3 linked regions of the Drosophila melanogaster genome follow. Changing the gene in region 2 together with the main gene of any one other region gives a genetic interaction. Each region holds a gene or a part of one and is shown on either strand. Other genes may lie near its edges.

Region 1 (11,023 bases), 2.0 Mb from region 2:
GACTTTTAAACTAAATATCTAGCTATCTACAATAGCTTTTATCGCTCATACGGACGTTCATACGGACAAAAGGACGTGGCCACATTGATTGACTACAATAAGAATTTATGTATATGTATACTCCAAGGGCCAGAAATTCTTCCTTACACCTGTTTCATACTTTCCGACGAAATAGCGGGTAAACTTATAACCAACTCTGCACAGAGCAAATGCAATTTGCTGATTTATTCAGTTATTCAGTTTCACTTAAAGTAATAACCCCTATGTGTGATTAAACCACGCAATCGGATTCCACTATATACTCAGTTGGCATTCTGTGGTTCTGGCCTCATAAAAGGTATTCCTTGTCACTTAGAGTTCAGGTAGACTTAAAATTTAATTAAGCTTTATTTAAATGCAATTTGTGGAAAGTTGAAAATATTCTCCCCGTCACTTTGGAGCACTTGTGGGTGGGTGGGTCGATGTCGTTCGACGTGCAGTTGCAGCGTTCGTGTTGCACTTTTGGGTGGTTTCCCACCCACTGGGAACCAACTCATGCCACATACGCACCCCACCGCCCACTGACCGGACCATAAATCAGTGCAATATGAGACGTGCATCATGGGAGGTCTGTCGTCCTGCTGGTTAAATGGCGATTTCAGATAGAGATGAAGCCCAATGATGCTGGTCCTTTTGGAGTTTCTTCGGATTTCAGACGGCTGGATGCCGGTTGATGATGGCCGGCCATCGCTTGTTTATTGTTGCTCCTACGTCAATTTCGTTTATTTTGCAAATTTACAACACAAAACGGCAGGCATCAGATGGCACGGGCATATGTGTACTTTGAACTCTCGGACGGAAGGGAAAATCCTTTGATACAACAAAAGCAGAAAATTAATTACGTTCTGGATTTCTGTTGGGCGCCCATTTTCGACAATGGCTAATCTTCAATGCATCATTCAGACTGTCCGTAATACGTGACTAAGAGTGCTAAAACAACAAGTACCTTTAAAGGAAATATGCCAACACCTAATTTAAATGTATAATTTACGCAAATGGAAAATAATTGCCTGTAGTTTGCTACGCTTTCCATTCAAGGTTCATTCGCCGCAGTTACTCGTTTTGGGCAAGGCGGATCCATTCGATATGCTCCATGGTCGCCGGTTCATTAAGTCTGATCAAAGTAATGAAATTGGAAATGCTTCCCAGATATGTAGGGGCGGGTGCATAAATTCCAGATTCCAGATTCCTAAGCGCTTGAACAATGCACTAGGGAATCCAAATATGATACCGATAATAATGGATCCAGGGTCAACTGGTAATCGAATAAAATGAATTCGCCGTAATTGACTGGGTCTATAAATGCCTCACCGCCAAGTCAATGAACAATCGTGTTTATGGAACATACATAAAGCACTCAAAAGAACTTTTTCATCACTGAGCAGTGGGACTCAGGTGACAGACTGGCACATCAAAGTCCATGAACCTCATGATACATTTCTCTTTCAACCCCTCATAAAATGCCCTGCTTCCTCGCAGACTAATATAAATTGGCCAGGTTTATAAATCGAGCGGGAACGAGATGAAGACGAAAAAACTTGCTCTTGAAATATTTATGAGACTTTGCAATAAACTAAAATTTCAAAGACACCACCTCTCCAAAATGGCCGCCATAAATTGGTAGAAAAGGTGGAAAGGGAGCGAGAAGACGGCGGCAGATAGAGCCGTATAAAATATATTATACTCCCCATAATAAAAGCGAAAAACTTGATTGTACCTGGAACTTGTGAGCCAAGCGAGTTCAGAGAAAATCGGGGCGTTCGAGGGGCGTGTCGGGCCAAAGTTGCTGCGATTTATGCGACGCCATGGAGGAAGGCAACAGAGCTGCAAAGCCGGGAAAGGTGCAGCAGCTGATAAATATTAATGGCGAGGCCACCGCCAGATGTCCATATAAACAAACCCAATCCGCGAGTTCAACATAAATAAATAAATAAAATTGTAAGTATTCAGACGCAGCGAGAAGCGTCGCACACGCATTAAAAGCATTCCAATCCAAATACGAATTTCAAATCGTTAGGAGCACTTCAAATCCGATTCGTATCTCCTACCAATGGAAAAGGGCTGAGGAAGCGAGAGAAGCTTCGCCATTTTGGACCATTGGCCATTCGCTTTAATCGCGGGCATATCCGGCCAACGTTGCTGCAATTTCCGCCCAGGAGTTGGAGGAACACGAACTGGGTGTTGAACCACCCGAAACCCACCTAATGGACAAACCCTAATGACCCGACATTACATTTCATAACGCAATTTAAGCCACCAAAAAAGTATGTGTACTGTACATAAATATAAATTTCTACAGAAATGGTTTCATAAAAACCATGATTACGCATTTACGCACATACCCACACACAAGGCAAATGAGAAAAAGGCTGATGGCACTCGGGATTTCCTTTTATATACTTATATATTCATACACCATATATCCAAAATTTTCAAGTGAAATACCTCAAGTATTTTCAGAATATATATTTCGAAAATATTTTTTTGGAAAATTTGAAAAGCTATCTGTATTTTAACGTCTTCCCATAAAAGGGGCTGTTTATGACGGAACTCATTAAATATTATACTTCTGTATCCTTCGGTTTGGTTTCTTTGCTCGAATGTCTCAAGCCACATCGCTTCAGTCGTAAAGATTTAATTGTATGGAAATCGTAAATGGCACGAACAGAAAAGTTTTGGTTTATTTTATGAGAAAATCGATGGAACCCATTAAAAGCTGTCGCAACTGGCAAACTACAGGTCCTAACCGAAGGAAGTTCACTTGGTTGACGTAAATAAAATTGCTATTTCACCGAACTGTCATCATCTGACAGACCCTTTCGTTGGGACTTCGGGTATTCGTAATGGAATAAGTGATAAGTGGAACTTCTAACCGAGAATGACACATCCAACGAGCAGTAATAAAGTGATTCATTGAGATTGTAATGGCAGGCAAGGGTCGTTTGTTAAATGGGTTGATCGATTAGATCCTTGGTGAAGATAGTTACCGAACCTCCCTGATCAAAGGAAACTTAATAGCGGAGCGGTTCAATGCTCTACAATACTAATTCAAGGCTATCAGTTAATCATAATCTGTTTATCATCTAATGAGCTGTATGGAAAATTGGCAATTTGTAGCATATTTACACAGCTGTTTGCTGAATGAAATGTTTACTTTAAAAGCAAGAAGCAGATTAAACATAAACAAAATTTAAGGAGAGACGAGCGAAGCGGGAGAAAGCCGGATGATAACATTATTAGTTGCTATTTGGTTCCGACTACGGTTGGCATTGGCTAACCCAAACCACTATGATAGTCTTATCTTAATTAGTTTCGCCGTATTACTACTTAGAAATCGCCATTTTATTTTCTGGTCCCGAACGAAAACCAGTTTTGATATTCTCTTAGGCAAGTTTTACTATTTCGTGCTCAAACTCAATGTTTGGGTTGGGAAAACTTGACTAGTTACAGAACGGAAGGTATAATAATTACTACTCCCAATCATGTTGCGAGCATAAATTCAGTATTGAAAATCTTTTGGTGGGGGACCAAGAGACCAAAAGACGTGGAGCCAACCGAAACGAAACCAGGAAACCGCAAACTAATGAACGGACTGAGCTGTCGGCTGGTCCCCGGATTTTGGACCCCAGCGATGCTGCTGCTGCTGCAGACGACGGTCGAGGTTTGCGTCGGGTTGCATTGGCGGTGGCCTGGGCAGGGCGTTGTGGTTACGTTGGTCCGACGAGCCGGTGGCCCTCGGTCTCTGGAGCTTACCAAAGCCGTCACAGCCGCTGTTTCTGTTGCTGCTGCTGATGCGGTTTGCGGTTCTTTTTGTGCCCGTTGCAATTGTTCCTGCTCCCGGAGGGCATGGCATCAGCAGACACGTATACACCATAATATGTACATATATATGGATTGGATGGAGTGTGCACGAACTACGAGAGTACGAGTGTTTTCCAAAATGGCGACTCCCCGCTGATGTAGATACACAAACCGGTAAGACTTCCCAGTCAGCAGGGGGCCCGAAAATCGTGACGCCAGTTGCAGGAATAGCAATATTATAACCGATATGGATGGTACCGGGACTTGGGCGTAGGCGTATCTGGGGGCATGCCAAGGCGGCAGCTGAACAAGCTGACGCAGCTCAGAAATCTGCTTACATCTGCTGTCTGTTGCCGTAGGATGGTAGGAAATCAGACAGACTCGCTTCTCAGGACTTATGCAGCTTATAAAACTTTGCCCTCTGCATTTCCCCTCCACTGACAGAAACGCTCTACTTTTAAAGTGGCGTCAGTTCGGTTTCCCTTTGCCACGGCCGCCCGACTGCACCATTTTTGTTGCTGTGCGTTATAATCCGCTTTTTGTGATCGGATTATGTCCTGTGTAGCACCTAATCCCCGCACAGGAGTGCGACCAGCGTACACATGTTGCCAACGAGCACCACTTCCACATCTACACCTACAACTACACCACTCCCATTCCCTTTTTCAGTTCCAATCCGATTCCATCCATCCGCACTGATCCCGCAGTCGCAGTCAACTTTAATTACGCACTGGACGTCGATGGATGGATTAGGGCGGCCTTACGCCCACCGACTGCCCGGAAAAGCAATTAAAATGTGTATATCCTGGATAAACAGGAGAACGTCCCTAAATGGAACCACCTTTCAAGTTATAAAGCTGTTAACATTTTAGAAAAAAACATGTTTTCATGGTTTGTTCCAATTAAACGTTATTAACAATAAGTTCGGAACTGAGAGAGTTTATAAAATGTACATCAACCAAGATGGTTTTTCTCCTAAAAATAACAAAAAGCTATTAATATAAGATTAAAAGTTTATAACAGGTACAAAGAACAGTAGACAGTAAAACAAATATACATATAATCTTTTTTAAAATTTTTTTTCCGAACTCGAAAATAAAACACTAGTAACGAGAATAGACTAGAGCGACCTCTCTTGTTCACTTCAAAAATATGTTGAATATCTATTTTGACATTGAGCGTACTAAATCAGAAAATCTTTAATGCACATATTGGCTTTGACACAATTACCTAGTTTAGAGTATAGAGTATTATTTCTAATCCTAAATTCGTTCAATCGGATCACAAAGGGGATGGTTGACTATAGATGCCATAAAATCCCAGCATTTTAAAATCCCGATGTCTGCATTAATGCCAGGTAGTTCGAGTAAAGTGAAAAGAGAGTCATTTTCCAAGATCTACCCGCCCTTATTTCAGGGTAATCAAGTTAATTAGAAACTTTACTTTTTTGTGCATTTAACGACTTTTATTTTTGGGGGCTGGGGTTTCCTAGCACCGGCGTCTGGCCATCGGCACTTTGCCTTCTCCTCGTTTTGCTTTGCTTGCATATTCTCATCAAATTAAAGTTAATTGTACATCATTAAAGGCGGATTCTAAGAATTCGTTTCGGGTCTCGTCGGTATCTAACACAAAATGGCGTCGTACGATTTTGGGTTTTCATTTATTCCGATGTCAAGCAATTTAATTACAACCTGTCGCATGCATGGGGTAACACACAAAGACATGACTTCATGAATATGTATGTACGACAAGCGTTCGTACATACGTATTTATGGGAGTATTAAATATGGCCTCATGGAGGGTAGGAAAATGCATTTAGGTGCAGTGTTTTTGAGATGACATATGGATGCCCGCCAGCGGCAACCTCCCCATCAGCTGTCACTTTTAATGCCGAAACCCGCCATTTTGACAGGAGCTACAAATGAATAGGTTTCTCTTTTCAGTTAAGCTTCAGTGATTTTGAGTGTTTTACCGAATCGGAAGTATAAAGGTAAAAAAGAAAGTCTCCACAAAAGCAGACCTTGTGTTTATGAATGTATAAAACCTTTCAAGCTAATTTTAATTAAAAACAAATTAATAATCATTTGAGTTTAATATGAGCAGAGGTATCATTGTTTACTATATATAGGAAAAAATTATCCGTGAATTTTAAGTCTTCTCTCTTTATTGAGAAATTCTTATTATGTTTTTCGCCCATAAAAGTTACTTAACGACATCATGTATTCCATGTATTCATGAGTAGGTACAGTTAGTTTTGTGAAGTCATGCATAAATTAGAATAATTTACTCGATGAAAAGGAAAAAAATGCCGTCAAGAGAAGAATTAGCATTCAAATCTAAAGGAAATCTAAAGGATCGCATAATTCTTACTGGATCATAAATAATTCTTTGATAATTCTTTTCATATTAATTATTTAACTATTCCGTGCTTGGCAGTTTCTTAAGTCAGATTGTTTTGTAGTTATGTACATGCATGTATGAAAATCTTTAACAGGATTAATAATCTAAAAGCTATTCCTTTGAAATCCCCATCATCATCCATTCTGAACTCCACACCTTGCCTCGGCGAAGTACTTTCCACTTGATAGTTTGCCCGCATCAGAAATGGGCATTAAGTGATCTGGAGGGGATTCAGGCGGGGGGGGGGGGGGGACTGGGCATGGAGTCTGGGGGTCTTAAGTGCCCCCAACGACCACAGCAAACACAACCGTTTGCATGATTGAGGGACGGATTGAATGAGTGCATGTCATTCCCAATCCCTGGTTGGGGTTCAAGAGAGAGTGGCCACTCCAAAAGGCCCACTCTAGGCGAACATTTATTTGCACGGTTGCAGGAGAAGTTTGAGTCTTTCATACAGTCAGGCTTCCGTAACTAGAAGTATCACATGCCGCATAGAAAGTTAGAGCTCGAATTTTTAATTACATACATGAAAACGTGTTTGTTTTATTTAGCACACATAATAAAATATCGTGACCAATTAGTGTCATCTAAAGCGGTTATCATTTGTGAAAAACATTAATTTTGTTTTATTGTAATCACAAGCCGTTGATTTTAATTCATAATGTTAGTGTTAAATGAAACTTTCAAATTGCCCAATTTACGTTGAAAATAAGGTAGTTATATTCTGTATGTCCCAAAATTATATTGGAAGTTCAGTTAAGGCAAGTTATCTGGCTGTACAGTAAGTAACTAATACAATGAAAATAAACAAAAAGGTGTAAAAGCAATTCAATAATTCTTTAGATTGAAGTAGTTAAAATATTATAGTATTTTTTTATTTTTCAGGACAATTATGTTCAAGCTTTCCACTAGGATGATCTACTTGGGTTCCACTGTAGCTTAAAGAGCAGCTCAAGCACGACGGAGAGCAAACAAAACACAGTAGAGAGCACACACACAACCACACACACTCTATTGCCGCTCATCTGGAGAGTGGCAGCTGCATGTTGCAGCTGATCTGCAATTGCAAGAGAGGGAGACCATCTTGACTTAGCCCTTCCACGTAAGTGAAAGCGAGGTAGCGACTGTCTAGAAACAGCTTGTTTTGCTCGCACTCATAGGGGAATCGAGAACCATCGGCACGAGACCCTAACTCACTACACAGTAAAAAAAAAAATTCTCAATCAGTAAGCTAATAATTAATGTTTAATTTGTACCTTTTTTAATTTAATTAAATTCTTGCATTAAGTTGGTATATTATTTTTCATTTTTTCATATAACAACTTAAAAATTTGTATATTAGAACTAATTTTAAAGTTGATTCAACGTTCGATAACATCACATTTCTTACATCTTAACTGGTATATCCAAGATTAAAACTGCATAGTCATATTAATTTTAAAATAATAGAAAACTATATATACACATATACTGTAAAATAGAGCAAAGTGCACGCCGTTTTTCTCACTGTAAGATCTCGGACTGGGCCGTGAAAGTGAAACACAACAACACTTGCCATTGCGCGCTGTTTGTTTGGTTGTGTGAATACGCTGCTTTGTTTGCCTTGGCCTGGGAAAAAGATAACAAACGCTTTTTGCACGAGACTCGATTCGAAACGCTTGATAAGGAGGACGCAGCACGAGCGCATCAAAATCCAACCAAAACAAAAGTTTACACTGAGCAGACTGCGCAGAGCAGGGGAATATGTGTATTGAGCCGGCTGTTTGTTATCAGCCGCAAGAGCACGTGTGATTAGGCGGCTTTAGCTAACCTCAACTTGGCGTTAGCTTATAGGTAACGAACGCGTGATACGGACTAGCAACATACCCTTTTCTCGGCACTGTCGCAGGGGTTGCTCAGACTCAGCGAAGAGGAGCTCAATGACGAGGTTGTGGGCGCACCGCTGGCCGTGTTTGGTGTGCTCATCTGGGGCAGGGCATCCGTGGGCACGGCATCCAGCTGCTCCTGCTTGATCCCGGCGATAAGCGGCAGGAAGTCGTTCTTTAGCTGCTCCAAATCCATATCCATGTTGGCGAAGTCCTGCGATTTAACCGCGTAGGCGGTTGCTGGCGATCGTTGAAATTAAAACGTGGGCGTGCTAATTATAGCAACTGATTTTTGGTTGACTGACCGACCGACCGAATGTTTCCCTAAAGGCTGTCGCCTTGAAACGGCATGACTATTGCGATTATGTTGCGGTATTATTGTTTTGGAATTAGTTGGGTAGTTAATCCATTCCAATGCTTACACGCACGCACACGCACAAACACACACAGGGCGCGCGCACCAATACACAGGAACTACACGAGAGCAGGCAAAAACAACGATTTGTGCTTGTATGGATGTTCACAAACGATTTTTCGCTGATTCTTAAAGTTTTGTTCGTAGTTGACTCCTCTTCAATTGGGTGGCTAATGCATTTTAATTTCACCTTCGACTTCTGGCTTGCAAAAATATTGGGTTCTCCCTCTCTCTTTCGCACAGAGCGACACAACTTTCGTTTTACTTATACACGACGTTCGCTCGAATTTCGCTGCTATTTTTCGGTCTGGCCGTCGATTTTTCCAGCGATTCGTGCCGCATTTCGTCCATACGCGGCTGCTATTCTTTATTCGCGCTGCGAGCGCGCTCTTAGTGCGGTTTTATTGGCGTAATTCGCTGCGAAAACACACGGTCTCACGGCGTTTGCTCTCGTTGGACGCTTCTTCTGTACAAAAAATGTTCAGCCATTTTGGATTCAATTAATTCATGTCGGCGTTGCCAGTACGACGGCATTTCGAGGGCTGTTACGCACGGCCGTGGAAACGTAAGCAGCTGAGGTCACACTAAACACGCGATCTGGCAATACCACAATTGAATTCGCCGTTCATTTCGTAAAAAATCATATTAATGTTGTAATACATGGTCAAGATGCCATTTATTTACAATTTAAAACTAATAACTTAGCCTGGTATTAAAAGGTTATAGTAAAATATAACATAATTTTTAAAATAAACTTGTAACGTCTTCGTTCTGTTAAGTCATAACGTTACGTAAAGCTTTGAACATTTTTCTCCACACAGCTAATTTAAAACTTAAGTAAATCAAAAGTAGCATTTCGGAAACTCAACTTAATTATTGAGCTAATTCAAAGAACGCGATTTTCGAAAAAAACATATTTGTATTAGCCAAACAGAGCTGTTAAATAAAACAGCTGATCCGTAACAGAGCAAGAAGAAGAAGCACAACCACACGTGTGTGAATTCCTCCACTTTAAATCCAGAATTGTTTACTTAATGTTTTTAAGACGACTTTTAAACGACTACACCAAGGCAGGTTAATTATTAGTGATCACACCTCCAATTCGAGAATTTATAATAATTAATTTTCTTACAATAGTTCGCCTGAAAACCCTTTGCAATCCCTGGAATCGCCACAAATCCTTCGCCGCAGCGATGTCAGAGGCTCTAGATAAACTGGAGGTGGAGAAGGAAGCCAGGAAAGAGGCCAAAGAACTGGAGGGCGAAGCCGTGAAGGACGCCAACCGCATCAAGAGAACACTTAAACGCAAGAAATGGGTCGATTGGAAGGAGCAGGACGAGAAGGATGCCGCCAACGGCGTGAAGCGAGCGCCGTTCGATCCCGCCGACCGGATCAAGCGCAAGAAGAGCGCCATCCTGCTTAGCTACTGCGGTGCGAACTACTATGGTATGCAGCGCAATCCCGGCATGCAGACCATCGAGGAGGAGCTCTTCAAAGCCATGCTAAAGCACAAGTGGATTACAGAGGACAGCTTTGAGCAGATTCAGATTTCCTGTTTCCAAAGAGCGGCCAGGACCGACAAGGGCGTCTCCGCCGCCCGCCAGGTGTGCTCCGTCAAGCTGCGTTAGTTTACTTATTCTATTTTACAAGACAATACTAAACCTATTCCTTCCTGCAGCTGAGGAGCTGGACCTGGAGGCCTTCAATGCCGATCTGCCGCAACAGATCCGTCTGTTTGGCGTAGAACGCGTGACTAAGGGCTTCAATGCCAAGGATCAATGCAATGCTCGGACCTACACCTACACACTGCCCACCGTGGCCTTTGCTCCGTTTGAGGAAAAGGTCGACGACGTGCACGACACCTTCCGGATTTCACCAGAGCTGCTGCAGAAGGTTAAAGAAACCCTGAAGCTCTACGAGGGCACGAAGAACTTCCACAACTTCACCAGCAAGAAGTAAATAAGCCAGGTTTATACTTCATTTCTGCTCCAACTAATATTTTGTTTACTACCCTTGTAGAAGCTTTCTGGATCCTTCGTCCAAGCGCTTCATCATGTCCTTTACGAGCAGCGAGCCATTCCGGAGTCCCCAGGACATCGAATTTGTCACACTTAAGGTTAAGGGTCAGAGCTTTATGCTGCACCAGATTCGCAAGATGGTGGGTCTAGCCATTGCCATTGTAAGGGGGAACACGACGGCGGCCACTTTAGAGCGGGCACTGACGGAGGAGCGTCTGGACCTGCCGATGGCCCCTGGACTGGGCCTCGTGCTGGACACAGTGCACTACGAGCGCTACAACGATCGCTACGGCAAGGACGGCATCCACAATCCGCTGACATGGCAGGCGCAGGAGGCGCAAGTCCAGGAGTTTATCGAGAGGGAGATCTTTAGCCAGATCTATAAGACGGAAGCCGAGCAGCGTAACATGCTCGACTGGATAGGAACATTGCATTATCACTCGTACGACACGCGGACGGAGGACGCGCCTCCACCTTCCTCCGAA
Region 2 (11,023 bases):
CAGGTCTGCTTTTCCTGCGGAAATTATTTCACACTCGAAACCATTTTCATGAAATTAGTTTTTCTTTGGCATTGTCAAGGTGCAAATCTCAATTGGCCCAAGGGAAAATCCTGGAAAAAGCGTGAAACTCGGGCACGTTTCATCCGAAATGAAGTTGCATATGTATGATCCAATCGAGAGTTAGTTAATGCAGATACAATCCGATTAATATTTTATAATTTCAGGCACGATTTTCTATTTCACCTGCAATCTACATTTTTCTTTCGGTTTAAGTTCTGGAATTTCTGAATTTAATATAGCGTATTCAATTATTTGAGGTATTTGAAAATATTTATTTCACTTACAATTTGGATCAAATATTTTTCTTGAGCATATGCTGCCACTTTTTTTATAGTGTGCATTTCGTTTCTTGAAAGGTATACGTTTTTTAGGCCCACCCTTGAGGCTACTAGACACGAATTTGAATGTTAATTTCCAAAACATCTTGCTCGTTCCCAACGCCTTTTGAATTGGAATAGAAATCTATTGGCCTTGGGAGTGAAAGGATTTTTCGAAAATAAATATTATGACGCTGGACTCTGGCCTTTGTCTGAATACTCGAGTCGAGGACTCCGGCACTCAAAGTGCGTTTTGAATAATTTAATTTTGGTACAATTGTCGCATCATTAAGTGAAGTAGCTGCGGCCTGCTGGCCATTAAAACTCCGCCAGCCAAGTTAAGAATCATGTTTAACAGCACGACAGTCGCTTCTCTTTGTCTTTTGTGGAAAGCAGCAGGGATTAATTTTCCATTTCGCCAGCAACTAATCCTGTAAACTATTTCATCCGCCCGCGATGTCTAGCTCCTTTTGAAGTAACGAAGAACTTTCCACTCTTAGCCAGCCAGTTTTGTTGGCAATTGTTAAATGCAATTGAATTTATAAGCGGGCATAATTAAAATTAAGCAGCCGCTGCCGAAGATGAAAGTTTTTGCAAGTGTTGCACTTCCTGTTCCGAAATTCGCTTTTGAGTGGCTTGTAAGTTTGCTCCTGTTCGGAAGTGGATTGTCCTGGCGATATTCTCAGGATGCGACTTTAAACAGACAAAGGCTGGCCAAGAAAAATATGTGCAAAGGAAGTCTTGCCCATTTCAACAGAATTAAGTTGCTACCTTTATTGTTAAAGGTAGTTAATAGAAATTTTTATTTAATGTTTTCTTTAAAAATGACAGGATCAATAAATATGGGATAACAATAATAAATTTAAATTCTATCTCCGCGTTCAAAATTCTACATATTTGTGTCTTTTAATCGCCATTTTATTCGACTAGACATAATTAGTTTGATTTTATCCGATTAAGCCTGCAATGCTACATATTAATAGATAAGATAATGAGTACATATATTCTAGTTATTTAAAGTTAAGACAATTGAAAGTGTATATAAAGGTAATTCATCTCATTTTGCGAAAAATTCTGTCTTAATCAAAATGGAACTTAGAAGCCTTTTAGTCCTGTCTGTATCGCTCTTTAAGAAAACTTTCCATTATATGTAGCCAGGTTCTCATTAGAAAATTTTCCAATTCCCAGAATGCATAAACTAATTTAGCTGAAATGTTTTTGCTTACAAATGGGCTGCACATCCCGCCAGAGGATTTCATCACTCCGTCAGAGCAAACTGCTCGAACTTGGCATGGAAAACAAACGAATTGCCAGAAATTATCGAGTGAGGAACTCGGCGACAGGATCCGGAAACTGAAATTCCTTGCACTCGCATTACAGGCGACGACGGCCAAATGAGTTGTCGTCCCTGGGTGAAGATGACGAGGCTGACGTGGATTTGGTTGTGGATGCCGCATGTGGCTGGCCCGTGGTGATGTGAGTGAGTTGCTCCATGATGGAAATGCCAAATGGTTTGTGTCTCTTTATGGGAATTGTTGTTTGTTGTTCATTCTCCTCGAGCTTAGTCTTAGTTTGCGTTTTGTTTTTTGGCTGCTGCCTGTTTAGCTCGGCAGATAAGCAGCTCTACTTAGATTGCGGATTTCGTGGAGAGGGATTCTAATTCACAGATCTCTTTTATTTGCCAAAGATTGGATATTTTTTTTATGTATGCCAACGTAACAATATTTTGTATGACTTTTGACCAACTAAATACCGAAAGTTAGTTAGTCACTAAACAATAATAAAAGGGTTCAAATATAAAACCGCACACTTAAATAAATAGCTTTTAAAACTTTTAAGCACTATTATCGTGTTTCTTCAAATCGGTAAAACTGAAGCTAGAAACTAGAATCATCCTAATTCTGGCCTGTATATTGTTATATTAAATTGGAGCTTATAATAGCAAAGTACTAGGCAGCGATTAAAAGTAATTTTGTAGATTAAATAAACAAATAAAAATGAATTATGTTTTTAAGCGGCGCAGTAAATATAGTTTTCTTATTCCCCGTATTGACTGTTTCTAAGTTAATCAAGATGCAGTTAGGCTGTTTAGGACACATTCAATATTTCCCACAAAAGGATATCCAAGCCATTTGACGTTTCCATCACGAATGAACTCACTACCATTTGACATAGTCCTTCTAGCAGGTCAATTTGTATTGGCCACATTATGAGTCCTAGAAAAATTGGAGTGTTAGTTTGATATCCGTATATAACAAAAATTGAGAGCTGCAAAGCAAATCAATTAATGTATTACGAAAATTACCAAGCATAAATGAATATTAATAAACGTAGTACTTGCACCTAATTCGTACTTTACTAGAGTAAGGCATCTTGATTAACTGAAGCCTTTGGTCTTCAAGCAACGACTTTGTTGCCATTTAAAATAAAAATATCATTTAATTAAGTTTAAAATTTATGCCAGGCAAAGAGAGCGCTAAATGGCTTGGAGCTATGAAATAAGAACATGACAAGAGGAAACAAGAGCAAACAGCCGAGGCAAATAAATACAATATGAAATAAGGATAAAAAAAAGGCCGATGGAACCAAAGAGCAGGAGATTTAAATGCAGTTTGTTGCAAGGATATTTTTTTGTAAACTTTACGCATTCGTCGCGACGACTCGAATGCTGAATGCCACGCCCCTGCGCCCCTCCCCCCCTCCCCACGCCCAACGCTGTATGTTTGGCATTTCGGTTACGAAAGCCCGAGATCACGAGACCCAAACGAGCAACATTGTATGGCCCGAAAGAGAGGTAGGCGGTATGGGAGTCCTTGAGCTCCGTCGACGAATGAGAGTGTCGAACCCTCCGCCACCCACCGCCCAACGCCCACCCACCCACTGGTGGCGCCCCCTCAAGGCCACCCGCCAATGTGTAGGCGACATGGACGAACGCCGTTGGTTGGCCGTCGTCGGCGCCTATGTAAACGAGCCACGCATGTGTGCCATCTGTGTGTGTGTGTGTGTGTGTGTGTGTTCGTGTGTGAGTGTGCGTGTATGTAGGTGACATGTACTGCGTACTGCAACAGGAGTCCTGGCAATGGCCAAAAAGGCAGCGGAGTAAATGCAAAATCTGTAGGGAGCCCACACCACCAGACCGGATCCGACCGAAACCATTGCGAAGCCCCCATTTGGAAAAACCCACCAGTGCAACACGGCAAACATCATCGAGCGAGCATTCGCCAGGGGAAGCGATTACGCTGCAACATGTTGCAAGAGGAGGAGTTTGCGCACCGCTGCAATCCAGTTTAGCTCACCGAGGTTCCAAGGCTTTAATTTTTAGCTGAATGTATCGCATTTTATCTTTATTTAATGGTAAATAAAATTGGGACTGCTTCTAAAAATTCCCGTAAACTAATTACCTACAAATATACGGATTTGAAAACTTAATTAAGAGGGATATAACTAGAAATTTGCCATTTGAATTTAGTTCGTTATAAAGAGATTTTACTTTAATTAATTTGATTGCGAAAGGCTTAGATCTATAACAGCTCTAAATTTTTTTTAATGAGCTAACAATATTTTTAAAGGTATAAGGCATTTACCTTCTGAATCTGAATAAAATTTTTTGAACTAAAACCTTTTTCCAACGACTTTTTTTATATTATAATAAAGTTTTTATTTGCTTGTTTGGTTAATTTGAGCTCTCAATTATTTCGCTTAATGCTTCGTATCTAATTTAAATATAAACCTTTTCCAAAATGTGTATATGTTTTATATAATATCAAAATTACTTCGGTAATTATTAAGTTTCCTGAACTGGTATTAAAATTTTCAAAAAAGAATACGTATTTATTTACACTTTTTTATTTCCATATTATTTATCAGAGAAATATGTCTGTTGTGGTAAATATTCTTACGTTAATATTGCAATATTGCTAGATCAATAAACCAAACATGGTTACCAAGTTCGTAATCAAATTAATAGATTATTTGTTTAAAAATATTTCTTAAAAGGACTGACTAATAATATAGCCTTTTACTCTTGCAAAATAAACTGTCTTTTAATAATAATTGATAAAATCAAAGAATATGTAGATAAATATAAAATATTAATAAATTTTTAACCTATGCCATTACACACATTTCATTTTTGAAAAATATTTCGAAAAACAGAAATTCTAATTTTAATTAATTCCAGCACAATTTAGGTCGATTTGTTTATTTATGTATACTTAGTCTACGAACTGTTTCAAGTTAATGATTAAAAAAGAAATTTGTAGTTGCTTCAAAGAAAAAGGATTGATGAAAGAATAAAGAGGTCAAACCCGGATGAATGGCAAACAAAAATGAATAAATAATATTTTGATTACGCTTCATTGCTGGCTAATTTCAAATCGGTGATTCCCCTCGTCTGTCGTTTAGCCCCCGAAATGCATGCCACATTGGGTGGCAGTTAAGTCCGGCTCCTTGGCAATTAAAACGAACAATGCATTTTCGCAGTTTTCATTCGCCAAAAGCGAGGAACCGACCAAAATACCCGATCTTTCATATAGGACAGTCACATAGGGCCAGCACTATATTCCAATTCGCGTAGGTGGAGCACCGACTTATGTAATACTCGATTTTTTGCTGCTCGTGCTATATTTGTTTTTGTTTATTTTCGTTTATTGTTGTTGTTGCGATGGGCTGGGGAAATGCGCAAAAGAGACGGATAGTTGCAACATGTTCGATTGCAGGGCGTTGGAAAAAAGTTAACTGCTGTAAACAGCGCAGGCCTTACAGAGAGAGAAAATGGGGGCAACTCGAAATGAGAGCGAGCGCGAGTCCTGGCGAGAGGAGACTTCGGCAAATGCCGGCCACGTGACATTGTTGCACTTCCTGGCCGCGCGCTTGTGTGTGTGTGTGTGTGTGTGTGTGTGGGCGCTTGATAAGCTTGCAACGAAGCTATTAATCAAAACAGAATCAAAAAATCCGCTTCGCTGTGTGCGTGCGAGAGAGAAACACGTGCCGGCCCAGTTAACAGAGGTCCTTTAGCAGCGCTCTGCTAACAACGCCGGTTGGCAACAGCAAACGTTGGTTGGCTTGGTTGGTGGAAAACTTTCCACTCGGCCTCTCTAATAATAGATTTTATCATTGCCGAGTAAACCGAGTCGGTGTATTTACTTCGTGTAATTAATGCCTGGCTGCTTTGCGATTTTAAGGTGGTTTAATCGGACGATTAGGTGGCTAGACGCTGGTATCAATTGGCCATTTCGCAATTTGCATTTTGTGGTAATCCATTTTCATATTGGTTGTCATTCCCGTAGGGGCAATGAGGCCGTATCGTGCCCCCTTCTAGCGGCGTATTAAGTCGATTGCAAGAGTCTCAAATGTATTCCGGCTTTAGTGCTCAGCTTGTTTGTCCAACACTTGGCACGCACACGCAGCTCCGCAGGTACAGTGTACACCCTGTAATCGGGATCGTAGCGAAAGCATATATTTAATACATTTTTGATAAATTGTTTGTTAGTTTTCCCTACTCATCAATTATTAACGTTAAGTTGCCTACTTATGTTTGCTATTCGTATTGAAATCATATTATATTCAATTAATATTTACTTAAAGTAAACATTGCCTTTTTAAAAATATATATATTTTCGTTTTCTAAAGCTAGTTAATTGAGTACCCACTGTATGTGGCAGTGTCCTTGTACTTTTACATAATAAATCAAACCCCACCGAAAGGAACGGAAATGAAAGTAAGGCAAGGAAGAGGAAGGAAACGAAAAGAAATGCCACTGCGGAAAGCCAAGAAAAGAAAAGTGCATTTGCACGCTAACAGGAGCTGTTACCATTTCACTGATAAGAGCCGGCAAGCGCGAACAGCTGTTCGAGAAAATCCTCGGAGAGAAAGCAGCCAAGGATATCGAGAGCATTTCTCTTCGCTGTAAACGGGCACTGTAAAGGCGGCCAGTTGTTGACTGGGAACTAAGCCAATTGCACAATGTGGGCCGAAGTTGATGTCGTGTTGCTGCTGTTGCTGCTGCTGCTGCTGCTGCTGTGTGTGTTGCAACACGAGCAACTACAAGTGCAACTACACAACCCTTCGACTGCAAGGACTTCGGCAGCAACGAGCATGTATATGTATTCCACCGAACCCACCATGTACTGCGTTTATGTGTTGCTGCTGCTTTTGCCTTTGACGCTGCTGCTGTCGCCGTGCTGCGCCTGCTGCTGCTGCGTTTCGTTGGTGCTGCGACAGCAGAGTCGTTGCAACAATCGCAGCTTGCACATCCAGCAGCAGTCAGTTGGACGCGGCGGCTCCTTCAGCAAGGACGCACAGCTCACACAATCCCTTCGAAGGAAATCAGCAGCCGACATACCGAACGACCTGCCACAACATTCCAATTCAAATCCAATCCAATCCAGACTTTGAAGTCCTGTAAAGCGTTTTACATTCCGCTTACATAAATGCTAGAGCGCTGTAAAAATCGGCGCTAGAAACGCCAATTAGCCAAACATGTTAGCCATGTTTTAGTCGGTCCTTTCGCGCTTGACTTGTTTTGCAACTGTGTGCGTACGTTTGAGTGTGCGAGTGCCGCCCGATTTTGTTTGTCCTTTTTTTTTCTGTTGGTGTCTCACCGAGTGCCGTTTTAAGCCAAGATACTACAGACATACTAGCGACTAGCTAATACATATTAACTTGTTGTGCCAGCGTTTTGTGTGTGCCAGTCAGCCTCTGCTGAGTGCATTTTCATTAAAGTCAACAAGTTGCAGCCGCATAAGGTCAAATAAAAGCAGGTGAGTCTGTGTTCCCGGCCAACAAGAGCCAGGTATTCCTATGTAAAGTTACTTAAAGTGCAGGTGATATGCTCTTCTGAGAGCAGATTTTATGTTGTTCAAATTGTATTAAGTGGTTTTGTGGAATACGTTAAGGGCACAGGTACAAAACCAATATTAAAAAAAAAACATTTGTTTGCTCATTTTCTTTGTATAAATATTTATTTTAACTAAGTCTTTTGAAAATTTTATAATGTGGGTTCTAAAAATATTTAAAGTGCATTCTCACTATGTGCTATCTATTATGAAGTACGTGTTTATCAATTAGGTTTTATATTTAAAAATGTTAGATAGGTTCGAAAACGTTGGGGTTTCCAAGTTTTAATATAAAATAAATATATTAAAATATTTGAGTGAGTATCCAAGCAGTTAATATCTATGGTACTGCAAGAAAATTCACTACGTTAACACATTTAAAAAATATTCATCCATTCACATCAGTACAGATGTATAAAATAATTAATAACAGGTCAGACAAATATATGGTCCTTATTTACCTTTAATAATTACAAAGAATTTTTAGAAAATTAAATCATAGAATCTACTGACAGAATTAAGATATACCTAAATTAAATTACAATAAATTATTTTTCTAAACCACATTGAGGTGTTTTGCAAGAATACTATACTGCTAAGAAACATTCGGTTCAGTTATAACAACAAAATCTTCGAAAACTTTTAACTAGCAAATTAAATTACAACAAAACCTAAAGTTGGCTGAGCACAATTCAAATTTCAGTTTCTTATATTTTATTAGCAAATATCAGTTTACTTCATCTGCATTTGATTCAGTTTATTCAGAAGTTCAGCAGACCAAGGCCAATTGCAAACTGGCTAATCCGTGTTACCAATTTATATTCAATAATATATTTGAGTACTCTTACATCTCCCCCGGCCAACATAAATTTGGTTTTTAAAGGCACCCAAAAATATTTTGACAAATTATGAGGTAGGAATGTGTAGTAAATATTTCCAGAGATTAAATGACAAGTCTAAAGGGAAAATATATCTACGCTCTTAATGATCCTTTGTAATAACTACAAATCTGTGGGCCGGGTGCATCCTGGCCGTGTCCTGGCCATGTCCTCAATTTCGTTGAGTTACAAAAGGTTTAAGTAAGTAAGCAAAACGGTAGGAATCGAGTAATCGCTCTCAGGGGCATAGTTTAATATTGGATTTGTAATGGAAATCAATATTGCCCGAGGAAAATTTATGCAGAGGCCAACAAAGAAAGCAAACCATTCAAATTGAACCGGGCCAATAAAATTGCAGTGCGAAGTTTGCGTCCGAGTTTGATTTGAGTTGTGCTGAATCGTCAGCCTTGGCATTGCCAATTTCATTAGGGGCCATAAAGGGAAAGAGTCCGCTTGTAATTGCAATTAGTTTTATCGTAACTTGCAGTTAAATAATCAAAACATTTTCCCAAGCTTCCGTCCCCATCGTCCGTCCACCGAAAACTCTTTGTAATGCAAAACTTTTTAATCCGACGCCTTGGTTTGTTTACACGAACTGCCAGCGCCCCGCCCACAGCGCCCCCGATCCCTATCCACACTCCAGACAATAACAACAACGTTGACAATAAAAACAGGATTGACAGGATACACCCCAGGAAGTCGATACGCTTAATACCCTTGCACGAAAAGTGCCTAAAAATAGATGGGAATCTATTTCGGTAGAAATTAGGATGATTTAAGAAAGTTACTCTTATTATATGAGTTAAAATAAAGTAAAAAGCAGACCATATCAACTTTAAATTAAAAAATGTGAACTCAAACGATGCAAGAGTATATAATATTTCAGTTAATCTTATTATGAAACAGAAAATCAAGTTAGAGCTTGTAAACTAAATGGATTAGGAAAAAATCGGGAGTATATATATTAATTTTTATAATGATTTGGCAAAATTATATTTTAAATTTCATTAGATAAATAGATACATCTCAAAGGATTTCCTTCGTAGAAAAAAATTGCTTGAAGGAAATGCTGAATAAACTCTTTAAATATTTTTAAAGTCGCATTTGTTTAATACAACTCCTATACAGTTGAGCATATTCTGAATAGCACTTACAAAAAAGTGCTTACCAAAGTTACTAGTTTTACTTCATAAAACAGTACTAGTGCGGCTGCATTTTCCTGAGAGGCTTGTAAAGTTCTTGTTGCAGCAGTGCGACTCCCTTTCAGGGTATGAAAATAAGAAAAATTTGCATATTTACACAAGACAATTTACACACTCTCCCAGTCGGCTGACTGAGTGACTGAGTGAAGGGCCCCTGCGAGGCAGGGACGCAGTTTTCCAGCGGGGCGCGGGAATGCGAGATTGAGTGGGTGGATTGAGGTTATTTTGTAAATTGTGTGTAAGCCGAACTGCTGCGACTGCAGCCTGATGAACAGCCAGTGCCAGAACCGTTACAAAAGTCCAACAAGTTGGGAGGTGGGAAAAGTCGGGGGAAGCACGGGAAAATATGGGTAAAATATGGGTGGAAGTAAAAGGGGGGGGGGTGGCTTGGGGCCAAAGGGCGGTCTGTAACGGATGACAAGGACAAGTGAAGTGAAGTGTCGAGATGGAGCTGCACTGGCGGCTGCTCGTGTTGTTGTGCGGCATGAATTGGGGATATATATACATATATATATATGTATGAATGCTAGTGCTCACAATGCCACAACATACGGAAGTAATTCGATTTTGTTGGCAGAATGATGATGGCCCGGCCCCCAGTGACAGACAGCCTCGTAGAAATCCCAGAGCCATAACCCCATACAGATGCAGAACCCATAGAGAACCCACAGAGTTCCACAGGATGGCAGCATTTCGAGCACATTAAAAACAACTTAATATCTGTGTTGTGTATTTTATTGGGTCTCTTTCCGGTGTCGAGCCCATTATGAGGCATTTCCCAGCAAAGTAATTTAATTATTTATTTACAACATGGAAATTAACAAACATAACTCGGATGGTCTACGGGCGACACATTGTGCAAATTATACAATATCAACATTGCATAAGTTGAGATTGGGGAAGGTGGATCGAGGGGGAGAAAGGCAACGGACACACATGTGCTGTGTTTGGGGTTTTTACAAATTTCATTTCCATGCACTCGACAATTACAGCATTTAATGTTTTTACACTTTATTGTCATTAACAGATTTTATTTTCTATGGTTCTGTGTATATTTTCACGCGATTACGTGTGTTTTTGGCCGTGTTTACATGTGTTCATATGTGCATATGTGGCTTGGCTAAATCGGAAATAGTCATAATATAGTATTATGGGCTATTTGTTGAGTGCACATTAGATAAAAGCTACGGCGAAAGCATCTAAATCAACTGCGGTAATTTATTACAAATTAACGAAACATAAAAAGTGCTCACTGTAAATGGACCTTATGCAATTAAATGCTTTACAGAAAGTGTGAGTAAATTGGCAAATATGGATATGGATAATTCATTTTATTGTTCGTAATAACAATGTACACTTTACTTGATATTTGTGCTAAAAACTTGGATGAGTAACAAGGTCGAAGCTTCTAACTTTAATTGAATCGTAGCAAGTTAGCAATATTTTCATAAGCCAAGTTGCTTGCGTAATTGGTTTACCCATCGCGAAATTGGCCAATTTATTGGCTAATCTAGGATTAGCCTAACTTTCGCACTTGAGGTCGTTGTAAAATGTTACACCACAAAAGAACTGCTCAAAAGTCACGGATAGTTAAACGCTAATGCCGCAAAGTAATTCAAAACTTAAAGCGCACTTTTCGGGGCTCTCGACGCGGTTTTATTTGAGTTTTTTTTGCAGTAACTCTGGCATGTTTCTAATGCTTTTGTGCCAGTAAGTCTGTGCGTAGCACT
Region 3 (11,023 bases), 6.7 Mb from region 2:
ATGACCGTAGGGAGCTGCATTGATTATACCGCATGTGGCGATATGTTCCGTGGAGAGCCAGTCGATTCGGAACCAGTCAAAGGCGGTTACAATTCAATTTCAAATTTGAAAATATTTGTAATCAATAAATTCGTTATAAACAATAGAATATATTAAAGTATTGAAAAAGTGTAAACTATATGTATGCTTTATAATCTTTCTTTATATTTATTAGATTGTGCTGTTGGACATTCCAAGCCAAATCTTATATAAATAAGTAATACAAAAATTAAGTAAAAATTTTTATGGTTAATTTTTGCTCTTAGTCCGGAATAGTTGGAAACTTTAAATGATTTCAAACATTATTTCGCTAACAAATTAATTTTTATCCCTAACGAACACAAATATTAATATTTTTAAACCTTAGTTTGTTGTGAAAAACAAGCATTGCTAGAAATTTCCAGACTTGAAATTAATATTTAAGAACCAGAAAAAGTTAATGCCATTCAGAACGATTAAACCACATCAAACCAGAATGCCACCAAAAATTCCCAAACTCATCGTGAATTCATTAAAAATTGAAAAGTAACCGCCATTCATAAGCTTTCCACTTCGTTACAACGTAGCTAAACTAGTTATAAACTAAACGTATTTACTGAGTTTACAAAGAAAAACGAAATCATGTTTACGCGCAGATGAATCAACCAACTCAAAATTGAAATGCCAAATTATTTGCAGGCAAGCCCGACGTAATAAAATAAAAGCGTGTTTGCATATATTACCATATTTCGCCCCCGAAAATCCGTTGTAATCTCGATGTCTACGACAGCGTCTAGGAATTGGCTGCGCAAACACATCAAAGTGGACAAAAGTGAAATATTTGGACTCACCTGGCGCCAATTGGATGGGTAAATAAACAGAATGCCGGTTTCATGCCAATCACACACCAAATATACATATACATATGTATATATGTAGTATATGCTAATTGCTGATGACGAACGCCAGGAGCCTTTAACTAGAATTTGCCAAATTAAATTCACTCGGCCCGTTCCGAACGTCGCCTGTCCAATAGTTTTGAAAGTGAAGCCACCTCGCCGAGCAACTTTTATCCGTCGATCCATCCATTATCGATTATCGATGCCGTTGGAACCTGTTTGATGTCGTCCAAAATGCCCGACTATGTCTAATTGGTTTATGTCGGAATTGAGTTGTGTTGGCCACAAAAAGATTTATCTTCGTACATATGTCCAAAACGGAAATTTCATAGTTGGGAGCCTTGGGATGCATTCTTCCTTCTGGTCGGAATACAATTTCATAACTTAAGTGATTTTTATCGTGGATCCTTAACCATGACCTATTCATTATCATTCCCTTTCAGATTGCCTGGCCATTTAGCACACTTAGGAATTCCCCCAGAGGTAGGTTCCCAATTCCAAGTGCTGATCTCAAAGCAAATATGGGATGAATAATATCATAAGCCAATAAGTACGAATTGATATTTGCACTTTATTAAAAGTGTGAACAAAGCGCGGATTCCATTTCACGGAGTTTGAATCTATAAAAAGTACACAAGATGCCGAAATATAGTGCAAATTATATATGTATAATTAAATTATATATATATATAATGCATTGCAGGATAAGTGGAAATATATTGGTTAATTGCTTGAAAACTGACTGGATTGAGCATTAAAATTTTGAGTTTCGCTGCCTTTTGTGCGCGTTGCCATTGTTATTGTTTATTGTTATTTGTTGCTGCATGCTAATAATATTAATTAATAATAATGCTGCTGCCAATTCTGGTTAGGGGTAGCTGCGATAAAGATAAAGACTGCGATGTCTATGATGATGAGGAGAATCCATAACACGAAGCGAAAGAGATATACACATACGAATAAATAAAAAAAAAATATAAATAAAAATAGCCAGCAATCAGACAGACAACAACAACAGCAGCAGCAGCAACAACAAGAAAAACAAGGGCCAAGACGCGACAAGTCAGGAATGAATAAACTATGAAGTGTACTGGTTGTTGTTGGCCACATTTGTTGCCGCTCCATCGTTCTGGCCGATCAGAAATTTTATAAATGCCGCCGTCTGTCCAGAGCCGATTTACAGTTTGCCATTGAACCTGGTCGGGCATTCGCCAAATCGTCGAGCGGTTGAATTTCGGGGCGCTTGAATTTCGTACGTAACTAGATCCATATCCAGAATGATGCTGCTCCAGCTGGGCTGCGTGGCCCTCTTCTGCTGCTTGGTTAGCGGTGCCTCGAATTTCCGTGAGTCCTTTGGCCAACAATCCCAGTGCTTCGCTAATCGCCAGCTTATCCTTGCAGCTCCCGAACTGCCGCGCTGCCACATGGGCGACACCAGCTGCATCATCAACGTGTCGCACATGCTGATCAGACAGCACGCGAGGACCGGCTATCCGTCCGCTGGATTCCCCCAGGTGGAGCCCTTCCTGATCAAGCGCTTCGACATCTCCGACGGACGCACTGGCTCCCTGAATCTAAAGCTCAACTTCAGGGACGTGAATGTGGAGGGCCTGTCCAGTGTGAAGTTCGACAGAGCCGTGTAAGTAGCAAGTGAAATGAAAAGTGATTTCCTTCTTAAGCAAAAGTGAAGAAGTTCTCATGTTTATTAACAGAAGAAGATATATTAAGTTGATTGCACTTATCCATCATAATCGTATTTTTCAGTGGCTTTGGCGCTGATCCTGCAACCAGCAAGTTTGAGATGTACGGATCCTTTCCCAAGATCGTGCTGAAGGGCAAGTACGTGGCGGATGGACGCATCCTGATCCTGCCGATTCGTGGCGATGGCGATGCCGAGATCGTGTTGCACAATCCCAAGTTTTCGGTGAAATTCAAGCCGGGCACACAGCAGCGCAATGGACGCACCTACCTGAGCGTGGATAAGCTCAAGGTTCTGGTGGAGCCACAAAAGTAGGTGCAGTTCGGATTTTAGCTGAGATATACTAACATATTTGTGTTCCCACAGGATGAACATTCGGCTGGAGAACCTCTTTAATGGCGACCAGGCATTGGGCACCAATCTGAATCAGTTCCTCAACGACAACTGGACGGAGGTGTGGAACGAGCTGCATCCCTCCATTCATGTGGCCATCGCCGAGATCATGAAGAGCGTTCTCTCGCAGCTCTTCAAGCGCTTCGCCTACGAGGATTTATTCCTCGAGAACTGAGCACTAGTCGTCCTAGTCGCCATCAGGCGCCCTAGGACTTTAGGCTAAGTGTACGAGTATTTCCTCACCTATCCAAGCTATTCTCACTCACATGGGGCGTTGCATTCCGGCATTCCGGCCATTGACACATCATCATCGTATCATCGTATCTGCTAAGCTAAGCTTTAACTTGTAGAATAAACAAAAACATTCGAAAAAAAACTGGTTCTGCTTCTGCGGGGGGCCATTGTTAGCTAAAACGTGGATCTCACTATTTCCGCACAAGTGTCGCATACACTTTTTGTTTCATTTTTGGCCAGCAATCAGCAATCAACAGGCAGCTCACGTGATGGAACGATTGATTCGAAATTTGCATGACAAAGGCATTATTGCTAAGGTGACTATACTTGTGGATAAAAGCGTAGTTATACATACGCTTAAAGTATTAAAACATCCAACAAATTGAAATAAACACCTTAATTATTATGAGCAAATACTTTGTGTCTTAAAAAAGACGAAGATGCATGCTCCTACTACTACTCCTACATCCTGTGCAACTAATTTAGCCCAAAGTGCACTAAAATTAGTATATGATATGATGATATGATATATGACTAAGATCTGCTTGTCTTAGAATCAAGAACTAACTAAATGGCAGTGCTATTAATCTGAACACAACTGTGCTGTCACTCATTGCGAACTCATTTCACTGTCCAAGTTCAAGAGTAGCCAACGGTATAGCTGCCATCCCGATCCCAGGGAATCGGACACCCAGTTGGCCTTGGGTCAGTGAAAATCTTCCACGAGCGAGCAATCAACTGCAGCGATTCCGAGCGAAACAAGTTGCTTTTGTTCTCCACGGGGGCTGGACTTTAAAGCGGGACACTTGGTCATTAAGTTAACCCAAAGTCTAGGACCTGTTCCGAGCTACTACTCCACCGCTACTCCTCCACTGCCCTTCACTTCGATTCGCAAGAACTAAAGCCAACTAAAGAACTGGTGGTCACGATGACTGCGTTGTTTTCGCATCTCAATTCGGCTATATTTGGAACTGGCCCTTTTGTGAGTTGCACACTTGCCAGTTAACTTTGTTAAGGGAGAACTTAATACCATGACTTTTAATTGGACATAATCTGTCTGATACTTAAATTCATTGAGCGGATTTTCGATGTAACTGATTGATGAAGATTAAGGTGAATAAGAAGATTTGCTACATGATCTACTTGCTGTCTAAAGTGCACCCAAATGAGGTGATAAACTAAGGCTTGTATTGAAATTAGAACAACGTTTTCTTACCTAATACCATCAGATGATTCAGTTGCTATTCGTTATTAGTTGATGATTCTGAAACGAGCTCTGGAATTGACAGACAGACGGTTACGGCACAGATAAGAGCTATATCAAAGGTTGCCATTAGACGTTATTTGAGTTGCACTTAGTGGACCACTATAAATACTAGGCGAAAATCCCGTTCGTATTCAGTAACTTAAAGTTATAGACGTGTTAGCATGTTCGCAATCGCATTCGCAGTGGTTTTGTGCCTTTTGGTCTCGGTGGATGCCAAATTCCGTAAGAGAAAGTCCTTTAAAACAAGACCTTGCCAATGAAGTAATAATCTGGGAAACCTAGATAGACACCTACCTCTACTTTTCGGTTCCAAAATAATCCTTTGTGTTCCTCACAGCCGAAGATCCAAAACCTTGTAAGTATGGTGATGGCGAATGTATCATGAAGCTGTGCAACACCCTGTTCAGCGAAAACTCGGCGGAGGGGGATCCTGGTCTGAACCTGATGCAGCTGGATCCGTTGAAGGTGGATCGGATGGTTATTAGCCAGGGTGAGAGCTCCAGTCCCGTGGGCATAACTCTAACCTTCACCGACAATCTGTTGTATGGGATCAAGGACCAAAGGATCGTCAAAGTAAAGTGGGTGCAGGAACAACACTTTGTTTGGATGAGAAGGATGTGATTCAACTTGCCTTGATCTTTGCAGGGGTTTCGGAAGGGATCTCACCGCCAAGCACGAAGTGAAAATTGTCACGAAAACCTTCTCACTCGTTGGACCCTATAACATCCAGGGCAAGGTACTCATTCTACCGATCAGCGGAACTGGACAGAGTAACATGACAATGGGTAAGCTATGCCAATTGATTTTTCAGATTTCGAGGAACTAAAAATCCTGTCCAGTTAACGTCAGGGCAATCGTCAGCTTCTCGGGCAAACCGCTGGTGAAGAATGGGGAGACCTACCTGGACGTTACCGATCTGAAAATAACGATGAAGCCGGAGTCCAGCCACTACCATTTCAGTAATCTGTTCAATGGGGACAAGGCGCTGGGTGACAACATGAATGTCTTCCTCAACGAAAACTCGGAGGCCATTTACAAGGAGACGGCCAAAGCAATCGACCGATCCTTTGGCAAACTTTACCTGGGCGTCGTCAAAGGTGTGTTCTCCAAACTGCCGTATGCCAAGTTTTTTGCGGATGAATCGTGAGTTAGCTCTTCAAAGTGGGCAGAGTCCACATAAAGATACTAGATCATGTTGTTTGCGTACTGACAGATCTAAGTTTTGAGGCTAGCAATCATCATTAGGTTTAATGGAGTTCGTGTTTCGCGTTTGAAAGTGAGAACACAAGTAACTACTATTAAGCCATCTCAGCTAAATAATCTGTAAGTGTTGTGTGGCAATAAAAGTTACATATATGTAGTTAGCACATTGTAAATTATTTATAAGTGATACAAAGAATTCTGTAAAATACCATAAAAACATTTAAAACTATGACCCATTATTAATTAAGTTACAGTGAGTGGAACCCTATAGATCAGGTTGATCCAAAAGATGAAGGACCGCCTGAAAGTATGTGTTATTCGCGCGCGGAGATTCCGAAAGGCAGGGAATATCTGTAACTGGAAAAGGCAGTTACATTAAAAAAAAGCTTGATAAACAATCTTTGTTGACTTAGCCATTAATTAGACGTTGAAACGGGAATTAATGTGCGTTTTGGGGAAGGCCGATCCAATTTGCATATATCGAGCAAATTGCACCCAAAACGCGATTAGGAGCGATTGAATGGGACGGGGTCGATGTCTGGCTTGGGAGTTGGGAACTTGGGAGTTCATTAAAGGGAATCGTAAAATGAATTCGCCGGCTATAACCAGCCACTTTGCCATACAGCCAGCCTGCCGGTTTCGGTTTATAATCCATTTAACTGACTCAACTGCCAAACGGTCTAAAGTCAAATTCTGTGCGGCTGAAACGCAAAAGCGGTTTACGGCAACAAAAACATGATACATTTCAATTGACGAAAGTGACTATATAAGTGTTAACGCCCGCGGCTAATGGATCAGTACTCGATTACGTTCGCCGCCAGCAATTATGGAGCTAACTCTCGCCCTCGTCCTGCTGTTCGGATGTGCGTCCACCTACGGACACGCCTCCGATTTCCGTGAGTTGCACACACCCCCTTTCCGTAATATATAATGTTTATGTATATTTCACAATCGCCACGCCCCAATTTACAGCCTCGGGCATCGAGAGGTGCGCCATAATGGACGAGCAGTGCCTGGAGGACAGGGTGAACTTCGTGCTCAGGAACTACGCCAAAAGCGGTATCAAGGAGCTGGGCTTGATCCCCCTCGATCCGCTGCACGTCAAGAAGTTCAAAATCGGACGCAATCCGCACAGTCCGGTCAACATCGATCTCAGCTTCCACGAGATGGACATCTTGGGTCTGCATCAGGGAGTTGCGAAGCGAGTGAGGTGAGTGGATCCTCATTTCATTTTATGATCGCTCTGCTTACTACATTTTTCTGTTTCGGATTTTAGCGGATTCACAAGGGATCTCAGCCGCTCCATCGAGCTGGTCATGGAAGTTCCAGAAATAGGAGTCAGAGGACCCTACTCGGTGGACGGAAGAATACTCATTCTGCCCATCACCGGAAATGGCATTGCTGACATACGCCTCAGTAAGATTTGCCTCCCACAGCTTTGAAATCTAAAATTTTTAATGTGTTTCTGGAATTCGCAGCTAGAACAAAGGTACGTGCACAGATCAAATTGAAGCGCGTCTCCAAGGGCGATCATCAAACCTACGCCGAGGTGATGAACATAAAGGTTGAGCTGGATCCATCCCATGTGACCTACCAGCTGGAAAATCTGTTCAACGGCCAGAAAGATCTCAGCGAGAACATGCACGCGCTTATCAATGAGAACTGGAAGGACATCTTCAATGAACTGAAACCGGGCATTGGCGAGGCCTTCGGACTGATAGCCAAGTCGGTGGTGGACAGGATCTTTGGCAAACTGCCGCTCGAACAGCTCTTTGTAGTCTAAGACCTTAGTACAAACACCCTAATTAGTCCAAACACAAATCGTAAATATTTATTTGACTTTCAAAATACAAATGCAAAGCAAATAAGAAAAACTGGTAAGTTCCTCATACAAATAAAACGTAGTTGCAAAATAAATTCAGGCACTAAAGGATTTCTTATTTCTAAAGTTTAAGTAAAATACAGATTTATAAAAGTGAAAAGCAAACACATTTGTAGTTTTGCCAAATAAATGTAAACACAGTTAAACTTATATAAATTTGTTATCAATCTCAAAACAGGGGTAATAAATCGTTTTCATTTTGATTTTGTTTGTATCGATTTGATAAATATTTTTAAAAAGCTTATATAAGCTTATTCACGAATACAAATATGGAGTCCGCACTATTGGACAAATATATCTTACACTATAGATATGTTTACTTTACGAAATTATTGCTTCCCATGAGAAGAGTAGCTTTTTTAAATTGCATATTTGCTGTCATTCTTTTATCGATGTGCACAGCATTAGTTTAGCTTCTGAAGCGAGGTACACGTCCGGTGTGACGAGGTGGCGATGATGGCACTTCCTCGGTCTCCTCAAACTCCTCCTCCGACGCTGACGGCTGCTCCATGCTCACTGCGCCAAGCTTCTGTGGCCCGCAAATGGCGACAACACTGGGCGGGAAATAGGTCTCTGGATTGGCGATCAGAGCGGAGAGGAACTCATGCTGCTCCAGAACGCAATAGATCGGACCTCCCAGTTTGTATCTCTGGGCGATGAACAGATCCTCCGCACTGATTCCACGCGCTTCGGCCGCCCTTAGCTCGGCACCGGACAAAAGGATGGCCCGCTCGTTCAACGACTTGTGGCTTTCGGTCATGGCCCCGGAGTAGCGGTGCTCCAGATCCATTTCCCAGTTAAATACGTGCACACTGAGATGCGCAGCCTTGATCCAATCGCGCAGACCAATTAGCAATCTCTCCATGCGCTGAGTATGGACTGTAAATAATAAAATCGTTGCAGGAATAGCTGAATGGTTGCTTGCAAATCTACAGCTTACACTTGTCCGCATTGCTCCCCGAGTTTCCGTTTCGATTGCGCATTTTGGGCTTTAAAAGCAGTTTGAAGTTGTCCAAATAGGATGCGAAACCCTTAAGCAACTTGTCACACTCGTCGTATTTCTCGAAATCGAAGTGGCGATTCGCCTCCAAGGTGCGGCGCTGCTGGACAAGGAAGCGCTCTACTTTGGTGCACAGCACCTGCAGTTGGTAGCGCACATTCAAGCTCTTAGGCATCGTGCTCTTCACCGGCATATCGAACAGATAGTCCGAGGGCATTGAGTTTTGGCGCGAGAAGCCCAAATCGGCGGTCAGGTGATCATGCAGGGATCTGAACAGATTCATCAAACGCAGCACGGCGTTGTGCTCTAAGCTATTGTTTAGATAAGGAGCTTTTTATTATGTGATATATTTGGGATATACTCCAGAAGACTCACCAATCGCCGTGCAGACCAATCATATGCAGTTTCTCAATAGTTATGGGCAGTTTCTCAATATTATCCGCGGACGCAGAGCCTTTACTCTTCCGGTTCCACACATTTTCCTTCTGCAGTTGCTTCTGCTTTGGCCCGGTGACCAACACGCCTCCGGATCGCGACTTCTTGGCCGGAGAACCGTCGAATGCAAAATGGCGCGAGCGCTTTTGAATCTGTTGCAAGCAATCCAAACCGTGGAATTCGAGGAGTGGTGCAGTAACGTCACACAACCGGAGTCTACCGAAGTTCTCCTGGATTTCGGATAAAACGCCCGATGTGCAGGTTGCACCATCTTCGTTCGTATCCTCGTACTCACAAGTGGCTTTCCTCGGATCTTCGTTTTCATTGCCTTCCACCATTAAGGCCAAATGCTCCTCCATCTGCTTAAAATTGTGGTCCAACTGCTGGTCGTCGTTGCCCTCAGGACACACGTCACGTGCATTAAGCATTATTCTTAAGTTAAATCACACAAATCACTCGATTTTTGCCTTTTAAATCTTTCCTTATCGCCAGGTTCTTTTTACCGTTTGAAATGCCTGACGCCACGCTGTCTGCGAATTCAGGAGAAAGAGGAAGAATGATGGCGTCCAGACTCTTTGTTGTTAACGTATCGATATCATGTCGAGTCCCAGAACAGGGTTGCCGTCGCACAAATAAGTTTCAATTTATGGTCACCTCAAAAGGTCATTGACCCGGGCGCATTTAAAGAAATTTGAAATGCGATTCAATAATCCATTACGAACTTTACATTTTAACTACAATTATACACACTGATTTGGTCGATCACAACCAAATCAAATTGCTGATTAATTATAAAACAACATGCAACAATTTAGGCCACCTATATTTTAATTATCTAGTGGTTTTGTATAAAGCAAGCCAAAGCATTATTTAACAATTTGGGATTTATCACATTTTGTATAAATTATCATATATCGTGACAATAATAATGAAGTAGCAATAACCCATTTTCATATTCAATTTGTTTTTGTAATTCTGACGACGATAAGCTTCTAAAATTGCGCGCAAATTTAGAATAATGTATGGCATCCCCACTTCCTAACATCTGGCAGCTCCGTTAATATGACAAGCTTAGCTTAGACACAAACCAGTATACATTTTACATTTGTTGGTTCGAATACTGACTAGTTAAACAACGTGACTATTTTCATTTTTTTAATTATAAATATTTAAATAAATAAATAAATTCCGCTTCCCAACTTCTATAAAACTATACACATTTGATTCAATTTTTTCCAGACTGACGCAGCAAAATTTTGGCGCTCATCCAAATAAAAATAAGACAAACAAGCTAAGTATATGCGATCCGAATAACCAACCATTCTAAAGATTTTTTGAGTCGGTTACAAAATTCTTGAAAAAATGCTGAATGCCCAATCATTAGAAGCCTCACAAAATCTCGATTTAGAGCCTATGAAACATTCTTTATTGTTGTGAAGTTAATCAATGGTTAGATCTAAGCATAACTAGTGAAAAATTCCTGAAGTTTTGCCGCACAAGGGTATTTGCACACACAAGAGCTTCCATTATGGGCGGTTTCTTATCGGGGAACCCCAGCGATTGAGCTCCACTATCTATCCTGTTGGCAATTATCCACTTTCTATAAACAAATACGACAAGAACTGTTTTTTTTTTCACTTAGCCGACCACAACATCGTTAATTCTTTAATTCACAAAGCACAATGAACCAAAGGACCGCAGCAATTGAATTACAAGCTTTCTCTCGTATGGGTTCTGTGGTTTCTTTACGTTTTAGAGTTTTTATTAAAAAATTAATAATTTGTGGTTCATCGCGAGTCCCATTTTACTGTGGCTTCCTGCGGAAGGAGCAGCCTGAAAGAAAGACATCGTTTGGGTTAATTGCGAAGGAACATTGGACAGTGAGCATTTGGAGCATACCTTCTGTCAGCTTGGCGCGTCCTCCAGTCGGCTGGCACAAAATGGTAGCGCATCCAGCGCAGACCACGACGCCTTGGGCGTGGCTGAAGACGGT

Evidence for each region.
Region 1: of fru (region 2) and bon, changing one suppresses a phenotype caused by changing the other (phenotypic suppression), as found in Drosophila melanogaster (one study listed by BioGRID).
Region 3: of fru (region 2) and to, changing one enhances a phenotype caused by changing the other (phenotypic enhancement), as found in Drosophila melanogaster (one study listed by BioGRID).

The regions. Positions count from the first base shown.
Region 1 is NT_033777.3:20,591,128-20,602,150, reverse strand, and holds the start of bon (bonus), read right to left. Parts: upstream 9,013-11,023; 5' UTR 8,308-9,012; coding exon 8,107-8,307; intron 1-8,106. Other genes in the region: Pus1 (pseudouridine synthase 1), read left to right, coding at 9,555-9,594, 9,658-10,143, 10,199-10,475, 10,540-11,023.
Region 2 is NT_033777.3:18,541,228-18,552,250, reverse strand, and holds the start of fru (fruitless), read left to right. Parts: upstream 1-6,664; 5' UTR 6,665-7,138; intron 7,139-11,023. UniProt on the Drosophila melanogaster protein: Probably acts as a transcriptional regulator.
Region 3 is NT_033777.3:25,235,519-25,246,541, forward strand, and holds to (takeout), read left to right. Parts: upstream 1-4,661; 5' UTR 4,662-4,671; coding exon 4,672-4,732; intron 4,733-4,847; coding exon 4,848-5,088; intron 5,089-5,155; coding exon 5,156-5,295; intron 5,296-5,349; coding exon 5,350-5,657; 3' UTR 5,658-6,150; downstream 6,151-11,023. Other genes in the region: Jhbp7 (juvenile hormone binding protein 7), read left to right, coding at 2,195-2,261, 2,319-2,556, 2,682-2,927, 2,983-3,184; CG11854 (uncharacterized protein), read left to right, coding at 6,540-6,609, 6,686-6,923, 6,990-7,129, 7,192-7,496; bam (bag of marbles), read right to left, coding at 8,005-8,474, 8,536-8,906, 8,971-9,458; RpS27 (ribosomal protein S27), read right to left, coding at 10,835-10,863, 10,930-11,023.